2 linked regions of the Rhinolophus ferrumequinum genome follow. The protein of the gene in region 2 purifies or fractionates together with the protein of the main gene of each other region. This does not show direct contact. Links are inferred from orthologs where the notes say so. Each region holds a gene or a part of one and is shown on either strand. Other genes may lie near its edges. The genes, in order: KLF5 and RARA.

What was found.
Region 1: the proteins of RARA (region 2) and KLF5 purify together in Homo sapiens (affinity purification with western blotting; 4 studies listed by BioGRID). This does not show direct contact. The link is inferred for Rhinolophus ferrumequinum from reciprocal best matches to the Homo sapiens genes RARA and KLF5.

Annotation. Positions count from the first base shown.
Region 1 is NC_046287.1:24,731,307-24,739,554, forward strand, and holds the start of KLF5 (Krueppel-like factor 5), read left to right. Parts: upstream 1-5,031; 5' UTR 5,032-5,362; coding exon 5,363-5,623; intron 5,624-6,008; exon of another isoform or gene 6,009-6,028; intron 6,029-7,885; coding exon 7,886-8,248. UniProt on the Homo sapiens protein: Transcription factor that binds to GC box promoter elements. Activates the transcription of these genes.
Region 2 is NC_046304.1:36,756,447-36,764,172, reverse strand, and holds the start of RARA (retinoic acid receptor alpha), read right to left. Parts: upstream 3,560-7,726; 5' UTR 3,481-3,559; coding exon 3,276-3,480; intron 1-3,275. UniProt on the Homo sapiens protein: Receptor for retinoic acid. Retinoic acid receptors bind as heterodimers to their target response elements in response to their ligands, all-trans or 9-cis retinoic acid, and regulate gene expression in various biological processes.

The sequences.
Region 1 (8,248 bases), on a different chromosome or scaffold from region 2:
ATAAAATCCCAGAAAGCTCCAAAAAGCGAAACTTGAATTTGCCACATGCAGAGCACTACACGAAATCCACAAGAATCAGGTGATGTGTAAGCACACCTGGCTGTAGCCTATATGCAAATATAGGTTATATGTAAATACTACACCATTGTATATAAGGGACTTTAGCATCCTCGGATTTTGGTATCCACAGGGGTACTGGAACCAATGCCCCTCTGATACTGAAGGACGACTGTATTCTGATTGCAAAGGGCACTTGTGGAAAATTGAGAAAATATTGAAAAGTATAAAGCAATGAAAAATTACCCATCATTTGACCATCCAATGATAGCCACCAAAATACATATTTTGTATTTTCTCTCGTCTTTATTTGTGTTTATAAAAACCTCAACCTTCTCTTTCTTAACATACTATGAGTATTTTCCTGTGTGACTAAATATTCTTACTAGTATGATTTTTGGTGATGGAACAGTAGCCACCAAATGTATTATTTAATTGATTTTCTATTGCTGGACACCAGGGTTATTTCCAATATCTATCTATCTATCTATCTATCTATCTATCTATCTATCTATCTATCTATCTATCTATCATCTCCTAGAGGGGCAATTATCTACTGCTTTAAAGGTTATTTACATGTTCAGCCTTCTTGATACTTAATGTCAATTGTCCTCAAATAGTATACATTTTACACAACCATAACCAGTGTATGGGAAGTTAAGGTACAAAACGCCGGCATTGGTCTTAGCACTATTTGTACACGTTTCATTTATAAATCAGTCTCCAAAAGGACATTCCTTTGTGACCCACGCGCAGTTCACCTAGTACCATTAGTGCTGGTGTCATCAGGGGAACAGCAATTGGCTCAAAACACCGCTCATTGTGATGCCAGTGACGTGGCCTCCTTAACGTTCTAAAAGATTGTTTGGTGTAAATGCTTCAGTTCAGGAGTTTTCTCTTCACCTTTCCTATCATGTTTAGAGTCAGAATTCAAATACTGTACAATATGCCTGGCCTATAACTTGGTTTGAGGTATTTATATTTATGTCACTTTTGTTTGCTTATTATACTAACCAGGTGGAAAAAAGCAATTGCAGTCTCCCCAAAAGGTAAAATTCTACTTTTTTGGTATATTACTAGAATTTTTAAAATAGGTTAGATAAATTACAGTACATGTAGGAATAAGTGCACATTGGGAGTTTTATGAGATATTTCATGAAAACATTTAAATACAAACTTAAATGTAAAATTTAATTTCTTAAGAACTGAGGTGGGAGATATTAAAAAAATAGAATAATAAGTTTTTTAAAGACATTTTAATATATATAAAAAGTATATAATCCTATTTAAATTACATATTGTCTCATCAAAAAAGGAATGAACAGAGCATTTTTTCTCATGTCTGAATCTTGAGTCAAAATGATTTGACTTTTGACTAAACTCATTGAAGCTTTTATTTATTATGTTCTTTTCTCAATGACTTTGTTTTTGGACATGTGTCTTAAAGCAGTTGCTATTATTGAAAAAAATTAAAGGATTGAAAACATGAAATGTTTTAAAGGACAATAATTATATTTTATGCTTTTATTGATACAGATTCTAACAGTAGGTGGAAAAGCACTAAATATCAAAAGAGTGAATAATGTCACCCTAGAAAAGAGTGTACTTCCTTATAAACATTTTTTTACTCATTCTTGTGCTTTTCCTGTGGCCCAATATCACTCAGTAATTTGATTTTAAAGAAATGGAATATTCCATGAATATTTTCCAATCAAAGTGAATACAATGTTGTTATCTAAAACACCTTTGATTCCTTAATTTTAATCTCTCCCTGTCCATTTTGGCCAAACAACTGAATACAGATATTTCTTTTGCTGTGTCTTCCTGTGAACATTACCCTAGTAAGAGCTCCATATTTCTCTCATCTCATCATTCAGAAGCTATTTATCCACTTTTTTCCACTGCCTCCTCCTTCAAGCCTCCCCTTCCCCCATCCTTGAATGCCTATTCAGCCCCCACACATTCAGGCGTATTTATTCCGGTAAAGATAGTGACACTTATGGTTTATTCTAAGACTAAATCTGTGTTGCCCAATGACTAAGGACTTAAGCATGCACACTGCTTCTGCACTTACCCTCCTACCTAACTTGACTACTCAACTTTTTTCTTTCTTTCTCTCAGAATTCTGTTTTGGCACAGTTCAGTTAACACACCACTGCCAGGCCACTAATTGATTTCTGAAACCTGACATTTGTTTTTTGTTTTCCCCTATCTTCCCTAATGGTACAGCACTACTAAGCAGGAAGGAATGCAAAGAACTAGAAAGTTCAAAGTAATTGAGGATCTGTCCATTCACACTGTCTGGCATTATGCCAGTGTAGAACCTGGAACATTTGAAAAATATTTATCAAGTTTTAACCCTTTTTGCTAAGTCGATGAAGTGGGTTTGCAGCTGTAGCAGTTGTGTGAACAGCAACAGCAAGTAAGCTTGGTCGAACATGTTCTTTATATGTTCAGAATCGCATGGCAAATGTCTCAAAAAAGGATTACTTTCCAATCTCCGTACGATTGTACAATGCTAAGCTAGTTATTTTCTGTGAGATTGCAGAGCTGGGGATTTCAGAGAAACCATTACTTAAAAGTGACAGTCCTATTTCATCAATCCTTATGTCAGAAATGAAATTTAAATAAATGCCACTGTATTTGAACGAAAAAGATTGTATTTAGCATTTCTATTGTAAGTGTGCTGCAAGCCCATCCATAGCTAGGTTCATATCTATATTCATTAAGAAAAGTGGAAATGTGAAAAAAATTAACAGGACTATCAAAATATCTTATTAAAATTTATCAGATAGCTGGTTCTTTTGTTTTTGTGTGGACTGGGAAAGTTTTGTAAATGAAAGCATGTTTTAAAATGGTGTGAAATATGGTGTGAAAGCTTTGTAAATGAAAGCATGTTTTAAAATGGTGTGAAATATGGTGTGAAAGCTTTGTAAATGAAAGCATGTTTTAAAATGGTGTGAAATAAAGAAATATAGAAATATTTCCAGTAAAGTAACTGGATATTACTGCAGTGAAAATTTAGGTTGAAATAACAGGCCACCGATACTCTGGTAAAAAGAAAGACAAAAGGTAAAGTCTAGATAGCCTTAAAAGCAAATTAAAATATAAATAGATACCAAAGTGTATTAATTCTAAGTTAGATTTAAAGTTAGAAACAATACAAAAGTTCTGTTGAGAGTTATCTATATCACACTTGGTTTGATCATATTATCAGCATGAATTAACTAAAATCAAAGTTCAATTTTTAAAAAGTTATATGAAATCCCATACCAATTCTATAGTCTAAGTTATTTAATTACATAATTAGATTCAATATTAGAGAAAGTCAGGATAGCTTTTTACAGATGAAGATGGATAGTATGGGACTGTTTGCTTAGAAAAAACTTTGCAAAAACACTTATGAAATAATACTTTGGTAACATGAAAGTAAGTCTTCAACCATTCAAAAAAAGCAGTGATCACAGCAATAAAAAAATGAATAATTTATTAACAAAAGGGAATGAAAAGGAGACAAATTTTTCACAGCATAATTTTGTTTCCTAATAACAAATAAATACCTCTAATACTTAATGTATTTATTTTAAAATTCTACACACTGAAATGAGATCCGTAACTTTGATAGATTTACTCTTTGAAGTGAACGTTTTTCTAGAACTTGTTTTTTTAACGTTTTACTGTGATTAGTAGGCTGCTATATATGTAAAATTGTCTAATGGTACGGTGTGCTGTCAACATGTATACATCTGTAGTAGTATTCAGGCATTTATATTGCAGTTTATTGTTCTGGCTTCCAAATAACCCAGATAAAATCATGTAGAAGAACATTAAGGATTAAGGGACGTGGTTTCCTTGCGTGACTGATGGCAAAAATTCACCTTGCTATTATAACATAGTAAGTAAGTGGACAGTAATATATTTGGCTATTACTTTCCAACAAATTTGGATTCCCAGTTTTCAGAACTGCTGTGTGTCTAATGTTTGTGGCTTCTTTTATTGTCTTTTCGTAGGAAAAGGTGCCACGGTGTTGGGTAAATGTGCTACGTTTCTGTTTTGTAAATATTAAACTCCACTTTTGAACATACAGTGCTAGCAAAAATAAGTCAAAGATGTAATGTCTATTTAAATACATTTGATGTAGTCGTTAGTGCTTAAATTAGATTCCATGCTTCGGCTCGAATCAACACTATAAATACTAAGAACTTCAAAATTGATATGGCCCACCTCCCTCCTCTCCACACACGGATACGAGGTAGAAATGTGTGTGAAAACGTCTAATATTTAAATAGTGTGGGGAAAAACAAGCTTTTATGAAAGGACTTTAAAAAAATACTTCCCATCAAACCTTTTATTCAAGCATTCCGAATATGCTTTGCTAAATGGATATATTCACTGCTCAAGATACACTGAGACAAGATCTGTTTTTAAACTTGTTTATCACACCGCCCCTAGTTTTCCGCTAAAGAAAAGTACATTTTGTTTATTTAAAAATACACACTCATTAAATAAGTTTTTCAAAACCTTAGCGTCCCAATCTAGCTGCCTTCTGGGTTTCAGCTTTTGAGTTTCAGGTCCTTGCACAACACCTCAGACATGCAAAACTCTTCTTTCTCTCTAATTCTAGCAGAGAACAGTCAGTGGAGATCTCCCTCCACGTCTCCACCCTAATTCCCTCTCTTCCTAGATTCCACCGGCTTCTCTCCTTCCCTCCGCCCCCGGCTCCGCCAGCTCAATCTGTCAGAGAACTTGTGTACAAACTGCGCGGCAGCCCTGCGCGCGAAGCTCGTGGCCCGAAAGGGGTGCGGTCAGCGCGGAGGAGGCGGAGCCCTGGGCGAATTTCTTCCTTCTCATAGGCTACACGCTCTGGCCCCGCTGGTCCCGGGGCCTCAGGATTCGCCGCAGCGCTGCCAGTCTGGCACGGGAGCCCCGCCCACTCAGAGTTGGGTAAAATAGACGCGGGCGTCAAGTGTCAGTAGTCGCGGGCCAGGTACGCGCGTTCGCAGCTCGTTCGCGGAGAGCAGCGGTGGCGAGAGCCGGCTGCGGCGTGTGAGGGAGCGCGGTGGGGCGGGGCGGGAGAAAGTGGCCGCCCGGAGGACGTTGGCGTTTACGCGTGGCGGAGCGGAAGAGTTTTGCTTTTCGTGCGCGCCTTCGAAAACCGCGCCTACTGTCGGCTGAGGGGTCCGCCAGGAGCTTCCCCTCCTCCGCCCGCGGTCCCGCGCGGAGTTCTCCGGCCTGAGCCAGCGTGGGCGAGGTGGGAAGCGCGCTCGACACGCGCCCCGCGCCCGGAGCCGCCCCCCGAGTGCCCATGGCTACGCGGGTGCTGACCATGAACGCCCGCCTGGGACCCGTGCCTCAGCCGCCGGCCCCGCAGGACGAGCCCGTGTTCGCGCAGCTCAAGCCGGTGCTGGGTGCCGCGAACCCAGCCCGCGACGCCGCGCTCTTCTCTGGCGAGGAGCTCAAACACCCGCACCACCACCCGCAGGCGCAGCCGGCGCCCCCACACCCCCCGCAGACGGCGCCACCGCCGGCCGCGGGTCCGCGCCTGCCCCCGGAGGAGCTGGTCCAGGTAGGAAGAGCCGCTCCCCTCCCTCCCGGCGCTCGGGCGTGTCCCGCCGCTGCGACGCGCGGGCGACAGGGGCCGCTCCAGGCTGGCCGTGCGTCGGGGCGCACGGGGAGCCGGAGCGGGGTGGGCAGCCCCGCCCTGCCCTCCCAGCCTGGACACTCGCGTTTCGCAGGGAGCAAGTCGGGCGACCTGAAGAGAGGGGTGTCGGAGATGAATCTGCCCTGGCGGGTCGGTCCGTGAAAGGTTAAAGAGGGAACTGGGTGCTCACGCGCACCTTTGTTTTTTTCTTTCATCTGGAGGATCAAACCTCGGACCTCACGCCAGCTTGACTTCAATTCTGCCTTTCGCCTTAAACCCCCTGCCCCCAGTGGCATGGCCTTGGCGCTCCCCCGTCCCGCGCCGTCTCGGGTTAAGTGGAAACGCAAATCGGGGTGCTGGGGAGGGGCCTCGCGGGGTGTTTTCTTATCTCTTGGCTCAACCTGTTTTAGACGCGATCGTGGGGCCGCCTTTGGGAAGCCGGAGTTAGAAAAGCAAAGGTGGTATTGGAGCGCTTGTTTTTCCTTAAAAAGAAAGCTGGGGTGTTGTTTTTTTCATGTGCGCGTAAATTTCCTCCCGGAGCCGCGTTGAAAGCTGGCAGTTGGCTTTTACACTTGCCGGGCAGCCGAATTAGAGCGGCCGCCTGTTTCTTTCGCCCACGCAGGGAGTCATATAGCCCAGAAAAAACTTCCCGGGACTTTTAGCCTGTCCCAAGGAAAAAAAAATTGGAAACATACCCACACGCAAACAGCTGGAAGAGCTAAAATCAGAAACCACTAACCACCACGAGAGCGGAGTGCACGAAAGGGTTTAGTTCGGTTTATTTCAAGACGCTTCATTTAATAGCTCCTTGGTAGATTGTACATTTGCTACTCGGCTCCTACTCCGGGGGGTCTGCGAGTGTCGCCACGCTGTGAAAGGACAGTGACGTTTGTCAGAGAAGCGACTCACATGATTAGAGCGTTAATTTTTATTTTTAAATCGTGTCTGTCCGGGAAACCCCGTGTACATGTACACCGAATGATACGAGGTCGATATGAAACCCTTTTGAAATTAAATAGTAGCAAAAGAAATGACTTACTCACCGAGTAAGATGCCACGGTAACAGCACCATGAGCCATCTAGTTGGGGTGTGTTTTTTTAAAATTTCCTTTTCAGTGTTAAAAATTAAGTTTTATGTTATACTGGGAGAGAAGATAACTGTAAAAAGACAGATTAGTTACAAGCTGGATTATGTCCAAAAAATCATTTAAACATGATTTTGTTACTGCAGTTTGTCAGTTTTCTGCTTAGGGGACACCAAGAGTGTAAGGTATGACTGAGCTTTTTACAGATGAAGGGGGAATGTAGCATTGGGCCACTGAGGAGGACGTGATAAATGTTTTGCTGATGACTGTGCTAGCAATACAGCAGCCTCTCCCCACCCACGGGCCCCTTAGCACCACTCTACCAAGGGAGTGATTTTCCCCTAGGTAATTAAAGATCTGTTTTAGATAGGGATATGAATAGGAACATTTCATTATCATATTAACCAATTACAGAATCTGCTGATTAAAATCAACATTTAGAACAGTTCAATGTGAACGTGTTTTGTTCTTTCAGTGGATACTATGTTTTGCTGAAAACGTTGTATTTAGGTTTCCATTGAGCTATAAACCAGAAAAGGCACTGAAATAGCCAAGGAATGTTTTATATTAGATATTTCAGCAATATTTATCTAAGCAAAACAAAACCAACCCTTTGTAGTAATATTTTTAAGGTTTGCTTAGTTAAAAAACACATTAGTTACTTATATTACATGAGCGGAATAGAGGTTGTTTGGCAATATTACAAGACTACTTCAGTTGCAAACTTAACTGTGTAATGGGGCAGGGAATCCTGTTTGTACCTGAGTGGTAATGAAGTATATTTTATTATTGCATCAGAAAGGAATATGTTTTCTGTTTGCTTCTTTTTTTTTTTTTTGCCTCATTCACTTTTTGTCTGGAGTTGATTGTGGGAACGATTTTACCAAATACATGTTATGCAGAGTTTCGTAAGGTTTTGGCGAACCAGTTATTACACAATTGACAAATAAACCTGATAATGTATATGAGCAGCACTAGAAGGAGTATGCCCAAGTACTTTCAGCAGGAATTGTTGGGGAATTTTTAGTAAGCACCGTTTATTTGTCCTTGGTGAGATGATGAATTGGGTGGATTATGCATGTTTGTATCTCTTCTTTTTTAGACAAGATGTGAAATGGAGAAGTATCTGACACCTCAGCTTCCTCCAGTTTCTATAATTCCAGAGCATAAAAAGTATAGACGAGACAGTGCCTCAGTCGTAGACCAGTTCTTCACTGACAGTGAAGGGTTACCTTACAGTATCAACATGAACGTCTTCCTCCCTGACATCACTCACCTGAGAACTGGCCTCTACAAGTCCCAGAGACCCTGCGTAACACACATCAAGACAGAACCTGTTACCATTTTCAGCCACCAGAGTGAAACGACTGCCCCTCCTCCGGCCCCGACCCAGGCCCTCCCTGAGTTCACCAGTATATTCAGCTCACACCAGACCGCAGCTCCAGAGGTGAACAATATTTTCATC
Region 2 (7,726 bases):
CATCAGTCCTATCTACTTCCCCAGGACCCCACCTTCAAAGATCAGAAAGATCAGATGATAAACCATCAGATTTGTATGTGGACATGGCTATACCTGGTAGGTAGGGGTGGGAGTCAGCCCGGTTCTAAAGCCCGAGCCCTGGGCAGCCAGGCCCCACCCCCCCTCCTACCCCCAGAGTTAGGAAGGAGTTAAGGTCTCTGAGGAGGGAGGGAAGAAGAGGACACAAGCTGGGGGTAGAGGAAACTGGGGTCAACAGGATATTCAAAGCCGGCCACTCCCCCACCCCCTCAGCTTCCGCTCCCCCCTTCCCTCTCTGCCTGCAGCCACAGCCCCTCCTACACCCAAACAATCCCCTGGCCTGGGACTCAAGGCAGGGTGTGCAAAGAAGAGTTACAAATGTTGAGCAAAGCAGGCGGGGACTCCCTGATAAGCAGGGGGACCCCCCCCCCAGACAGGGAGAAGAGTCCCTATGGGCCCCGGAAGCCCCTTGCTCTGGGTACCCAGTTTGGGGGGAGCAGCATGACAAAGGGGGTCTGTTCCCATCAATGGTCGGTCTGTCTGGCCTCAATACTATGTCCGGGTTACTATCCCCCTCCCCTCCTGTTATTCAGCTCCCAGAGGGCAGCGAGGAGGGATGACCCAGCCAGCAGGGCAGCCCCCACTCGCCAAAGCCTCCCCAGTGCCTGGCCCCAAGCCCATCGCCCCAGGCAGAGCAGGGCTGGGCTGGGTGGAGGCGTCTATGCCCAAAGCCTGGGCTGCTGGAGGTGAACTGTTCTAGATGGAGACCTGTGACCAAGGCAATCCCACATTCCCAAGGAGCCACCCAACACCTTCCTGAGGCCCTTGCTAAGTCCACTTGTCCAAAGCCAAGGAGGGTCCAGGATGCCTCCCAGGTAGGTAGATCCCTACCGCTTCCCACACCCCAGAATCCTACCTATTGTCACCCCAAACTCCAACACACAAGGTTCGCTGGCCCAAGCACCTGATGGCCATGAGTCTCATGGCCCCAAAGTCCAGGCACAGAGAAAAGCAGCACCTGGACACAGGGCTGGCTGCACGCTGCCACCCTCCCCGCTTACCTGCAGACACGCCAGGGAACGCCAGGCGGGTGCTGACAGAGAACTAGGCCGCCAACCTTGGCAGGGCTTTCCTGGCTCTCAGTAGTGCCCGGGCACCACTTGCCTGGTCAGCCTGGCTGACCAGCACTGCGATGGCCCCACATCCCCTTGCCTGTCCAGAGCCTGGCCCACTGCAAAGGAACAGTGGATGTCCACCCACCCCACCCCCAGTCCACAGACCCTTCACTGACCCCACCCCCCCAGCCCTCTGCTCCTTACCCCAACACGGAACATCCCTGGCCTGGTTTCCCCCCACCTCACTCTGGGGGGGGCGGGAGACAAGCAAATCAGACAGGCAGAGGCCTGAGAACAGCTGCTGGGGGGGCAGGGTTGGGGGGCCTGGGTGAGGCCAGGAGGCAGAGGGGTGAGCCACAAAGAAGCCCTTTGTTGTGCTAACTTTTTCCAAGACGTTACAGGAGTAACAATAGACAATCCAGACTGGTGGGGGGGTGTCAAGGACATAGAGGTGGGGGGGGGGGGCCATGGCCTAGAATCCCAGTCAGCATTCCAACAAGCAGAGGATGGAGGTACTGATGTCCCCCCCACCCCCATCAGCCCTTTGCCCTGGCCCGGCCTCCCCAAGGCCCACCTCTAAAATGGACCAGACTGGAGGTGGAGAAAGGAGAGGGGGAGCTTTGGGGTACAGAGTGGGGTGGAGGGCATGGGAAGACCCACAGGATTCCAGGATGATGGACAGACAGCGCTAAAGCCAGAGACAAGACTAGTAGGGCAAAGACCGGTAGAAATTGGGAGCTCAGGCAAAGTCCAGAGGGTGTTTATGGAACTGAAAGAATGTGCTTTGAAAAATGTTTTTCGTAGGGTGGGGGAATGAGCTCAGGTAGGGGCTACAGTTGGGCCGAGTGAATCCTCCTGGCCACCTACGGACAGCAGCTGGGTGCCTTTGAAGCTATATCACAGTTTATACCCCACCTCCAGCACACCGCCACCTGTCACCCAGGTAACAGAGCTGAGGTTTGTTTCCCTGCGTGTCCTTTGAACTCAGAGCCCTGGCCCAAGTCCCCACCTCCTCAGGCCGCCAGCCAGCAGCCTGGGAAGGTGAGGGGCACTCTGGGACCCTCAAGGCCTCTGTAAGAGTTAAGGACACAGCTTTAACTCTGCCCACACAATCCTCGGGGGAAGGACTGCCATGCCCTGGCCCCTCCCCGCTCACCGCTTCCCCCAGAGGCCCCAGCCCACAAATCTCTCCTCTTCCTGCAGAAGGACTAAGCTGGAGAAGCACCACACCTTCTCAGCTCAAAGTTCCAGAGCTCAGCGCCGGGCTGGCAGCGGCCCAGAAAGCCAGGGTCCCCTCCCAACGGTCCGCACTGCCAGGGTGCCCTTCCCCCCCCCCCCCCCCCCCCCCCCCGCCCCGTCCCCTCCGGGCGCGCAGGAGGCGCAGAGCGCTCCGGATTCCCCACGCCCCAGAGCCGTTCGCAGGCTCGCACAAGGGGCCGGTTTCCTGGAGGAGATCGGCAGGAAATCAGCCGGGCCCCTGGCCAGCGGCTCCCCTCCCAATCCAGCTGGCGCCCGCTCCTCCGCAGCTCCCCTTGCAGCCCCTGGGGAGGGCTGGGAAGGGGGCGCAGGGCCCTTGGTACCGCCCTTCCTCCTCCCGAGGGAGGGTGGGGGTGGCTCGGGTGCTGCAGGGCGGAAGAAGGCCCCTGGCCCAGCAGCTGCCGATAAGCATCTATCCCCCTTCCCCCACTACGGGGGCCACGTGCTTCACATTCTTGGACGTCTGGGAGCGGGCGGAGGCGTGAGCAGCGGAGATTGGTGGGGGACAGTCCGGGAACCACATCCTGTGTACCCCTTGTCCTCTAGTGCCCCCAAATGGGGGCTCTGGGGAAGGAGGCAATGTCCCCGGGGCCCTGCAGGAGGAGGTCTCCTCCTACAGCTGTCCTACAGTCTCTTCCCACCTTTAGTGGAGGAGGCAGACTGGAGCAGAGAACTCCTGCTAGGGGGCCAGAGGACCCCTGTCACCAGAGGACCTCCACAAATACCAAGTGGCTCTTCTAAGGCAGTGGTAGTGACCTCGTGAACTCTAGACAGGGTCTAGTCGCCACCTCCAGTCTCCAAGTCCTTCCAGGGCCTCCAAACACCTCTCCCACAGCCTGGGGGGCTGAGCCCACTGATACCCCACGGACATATACACACACTTACATGGAATGCTGGACGAGGGGTCCAGGCCTGGAGCTCTGCCCCACCCCAGAAAGGGTGTGGGGGACAGACTTCCACTTCCGTCACCTGCCTCACCAAATCCTCCACCTGCCAGACTCCACACTCCTTTTCCTTCCCTTTCAGTTGAAGAGCTGAGCTGTCCCCAAGGGCAAAGGAAGAGACAGGGCTGGAGCTCAAGGTCTCCCATCCCTGCTTCACCCCTAGTCCTCTAGAAAAGGCAGTCCAGGTGGTGAAGAGAGTGACCCTAGCAGCCTTGCCCCAATTATCCACTTGGGGGGCACACGTTTCCTCCAGCTCTGGGAGGATGGAAGGGTCATACCTCACACCTCTCCCTTTTTGCCAAAGTCAACGCACGCTCACACCGTCCCTTCCAGTCTGCAGCCTCTCAGCCATCAGCCCCGGAGGCAAAGGTCAGGGGGCAGGACAAAAGCAAAGGCTGGAGTTAAGGTGGCTCTGGGAGGGGCAGAGGTAGGTGTCTGTCTCTCCTCCCTGAGCAAAGGGGCTGCAGGTTGCCCTTCAATCCTCTCCAATCTGCCAGGCCCCCAGAGACCCACTCCATCCCTCCTCCCTAGCAGGCAGGAGGGAGGCAGCAGGTCTGGGAGGGTGGGAGAAGCTCCTGGGAAAAGTTGAGCCCTGAGGGGGGTTGGAAGAAACCCCAGCAGTGTAACAAAAACACCCCCAGCAGAGGGCCAGCTCTTTCCCACCCAGATACAGGACAGGCACAGCTGGGTATAAACACACCCATAAGTATACCCCAAGCACTTACAGCTCCCACAGTGGACAGAGCCCCTCCCTGCCAGAGGAGCCTGAATCCAGACAGGGCAATGAGGAGAGGAGGTGAGCAGGATGCCAAGACTCCAGGGTTCTCATCAGCGCCCCTCTTAGGGAAGGGGCAGCCCAGTACCTGCCCCTATCCCAAGTGCACACAGGGTAACAAAAGGGCACCGCTGTGTGGGAAGGGAATGTATCCATTTCCACAGTAACTCCAGACCCACAAAAAACACACTCATCCCCCAGCAAACAAACCAGGTTAGGAGCAGGGGGAGGAGGATTCTTCGCACCAAAGCAGCTCTCCCCTCCATTCCCAGGACTGGTGCCTCAAAGATGCCAGCCAAGTGTCTGGGGCCAGGACCACAGTCAGATGGACAGGTGCCCCTTCCCAAGATGGAAGGGATGCTGAGGTGTCTGATGAAGTTGCCCCTTCCTGCCACACCCCACTGCCAACACCCAAGACGTCCATTGCTCCCCTGACACCCACTCAAATGACGCAAGGGCTGGGATCTGGGGAGGAGGCCCCTCCTCCTAGGGGCAGACAAGCCCACAAATAGGACCTTTCCCCCACCCTCCAGGGTGGGAGAAAGGACCATTCTGCTGTGAAGCTATTGGATTCCAAGCAAGAAGATACAAAGTGGGGCAAGGGGCTTCATTTCTCCTCCAGTGGAAGAAGACATGAACAAATGTTTCCTGGAGGGAGGAACCCCCAAAGTTCCTCAGCCCTAATATAACAAATAGCGCCCAGAATTACTCGGGGAGTCCAATTGCCCAGCAAGGACACCCAGGTTTCAGCAAGAGAAACAAGAGAAAGTGAAGGGTAGAGACAAGACCCGCCCCCCCAGGCCCGCATCCCCGGAAGCCCCACCGCCCACCCCCAATCCCTACAATAGGAGAGGAGCGGCGGGTACCTACAGTGATTTGAGCCATTCCAAAGGGGAGTCCGGAGCGGGGTAGAATAGGGACCCGGGGCTGGGAGCCCCTTCTCCGGGAGCAAACAGGCCCGGTTCTGGTTATAAAAATCCACCACCAGGAACGGGTTGGGGGTGGGGGTGAGCCCCCCCACTTCCACACTCTCGTACATCTTCCCCGCGAAGACAAGAGGTCCGGGCGGGGAAGTCCTGCGCACCGCCTCCCTCACTCAGCCGATGGCGCCATCCAGAGAGTGCAGCTGGGGGCGAGGGGCACGTCCCCTCGCCCCGACTGGCAACCTGGGCAGGGGGCCGCCCTCTGCCCAAAGTTCCGTGTCTAAGTCAGCCCGCCGCTCTACCAGTCCCAGGTGGAAGCAGGGAAGTTGTGTGCGCTGGGAGGAGGGTCCCTCGGCTCCCCGCGGGAACGCCCGGCCGAGACCTGGGAACTCGGCGGCTTCACCTCGAGGGGGATCCCGTGTCGAGTCTCATGGTGTCCAAGGCAGAGTCCCGCGGCTCCCCAAGTGCGCCGGCCGGGGGCGGGATCAGCATGGACGCGGGGCAGGCGGGGGGGGGGACCGGGGGGGCGGTCACCGAGCACTTCCTCCTCCACGCCGGGGCTCCTGGGCTTCTCCCGGGCGAGGACTCCGGGTGGGGGTGGGGACCCCGCGCGGCCCCGCCTCCACCAGGCCAGCCGCTGGGGCTCCGGTGGTGCGCGCCGCTGCACCCCACCCCCAGTCCGCGCCCCGCTCCCCTGCGGTCCCACCCCCTTTTCTCCGCCCAGTCGCGTCCAGGCACCGCCCCTGGCTTAACCCTTTCCCGGTTGGCCTGGCTGCAGCGGGCGAAACACCAGGACTGAGGCTGAGAGGCGGCATTTGATGAGCGAGTAGGGAGAGGCTGGGGAGGGGGAGGAGAGAAGAGGGGACAGAAGGGAAAAGGCACGAGAGGAGGAGTACGCCTAGTACAGACCGAGGCCGGTACGGGGAGAGGAGGGGGCTGCGCTCAGAGGTGAGGACGGAAACGGGGCGGGCGTCTCCCCCAACCCAGTTCCGGCTCCCAGCCTCCCCCGTGCTTTGGTCAGTCCCCGACCCAGCGAAGCCACGGCGGGGGAGGTGACGGTGCGAGGAGGGGGGTGGTCCCGGTGTCCTCCCCTAACACACACCCCCACCCAGCCCGGGCCTCATTTGCCTAATGCAATGCGGCTGAACTCTCCCTGAACTCGCCTGGAGGCGCCTCACCTCCGGGTGACCCACCCACCGTTGCCCGTGACATCACTCGCTCGCCAGCCCGGCCGTGGAGCTAGCCCGCCGGCCCCCTCCCCAGCCGAGCCCGGCCAGCTTCCCCCGAGACGCGGGAGGTGAAGGGCGTGCGTTTGGACAAGTGTTAGCGCCGCGGACGCAGCGTGCCGAGTGTGACATTGTGCAGCTCCGGAGCTGTGTCGGATTGAGACACACGGCTTGTGTCATTGTCTGTGACATCATGTGTGACTCCAGCCGCCTGCAGTCCGCCGGAACCCGAGGCGGCAGCGCGGGTGCTTCAGCACAGAAGCGCGCAGAGGGGGCTCTCCTCTGCTCGGCGTGCTTCCGGCGAGCAAAGCCCCGCCCAGGGTGTCTCCCAGCCGCGGAACTAGGATTGCCCCCCCCCGCCCCCACAGCTCAGCCCTAGAAAAATCAAAGGAGGGGCTGGTGCCTTCCAGCTGATCACTTCCTCCTGGAAGCCCCGGGGATGCCTGTTCCGTTGGAAGAAAGGCCCAGGTTGGGTCGGTCCGTGAAGGAGGGGACGCTCCTGGAGGAGATGGTATCCCATAAAAAAGATAGGAATTTACATGCTTCCCAAGGATATTATTCTAGAAGCCAGGTTCTTAACATATATTGTCATTTAATTCCCCTAGCAACTCCAAAAGAAAAGCTATCTTGTAAGATATTCCTGTCTTACAAATTAATTGAGGTGGCAACAACGCTAAGTGGGTTGTCTAAGATCACACTGCTAATAAAGGGTAGAGAGAACTTTCTGTCGCCAAAGCCCAAATTCCTACCATGCCAGGCCAATTCAAGAAAAAATATTAGGGTTGCTAGATGGGCGGGAGGGGGGGGTGAGGGGATTGGAGGGCAGTCGGTGACCACAGGATGGCCACGGGGTTTGAAAATTAATCTGGGGAACGTAATTTAGTGGTTACCAGAGGGTAAGGGGGTTGGGGGGTGGGAGATGAGGGTGAGGGGGATCAAATATATGGTGATGGAAGGAGAACTGGCTCTGGGTGGTGAACACACAATGTAATTTATAGATGGTGTGATACAGAATTGCACACCTGAAATCTATGTAATTTTACTAACAATTGTCACCCCAATAAATTTAAAAAATAATAAGAAAAAAAAAGAAAAAATATTTTCTGAGTACCTCCTATGTGGATACCCTGGTGAGCCTGCCCTTGCAGACCTTATGGGGCAATAGCCATTAAGCAAACAATCGCAAACTTCATATATATATTGTGTGTGTGTGTGTGTGTGTGTATGTGTGTGTGTGTGTGTGTGTGTGTATACACATATATATATACAGTTGCAAACTGAAATAATTGTATTATGACACAAATCCATAGTGTGTTTCGAAAGACAATGTAGGTACCTAATTTTAGGTTGAAGGGTCAGGGAAGACCTCAAAACAGAGACCTACTTAGGTAAAGAGTAAGAAGCAAACCTGTGCAAAGCTCCTGGGGTTACAGAAGTTGGTAAGTTCATTCAAGGAACTGACAGAGGA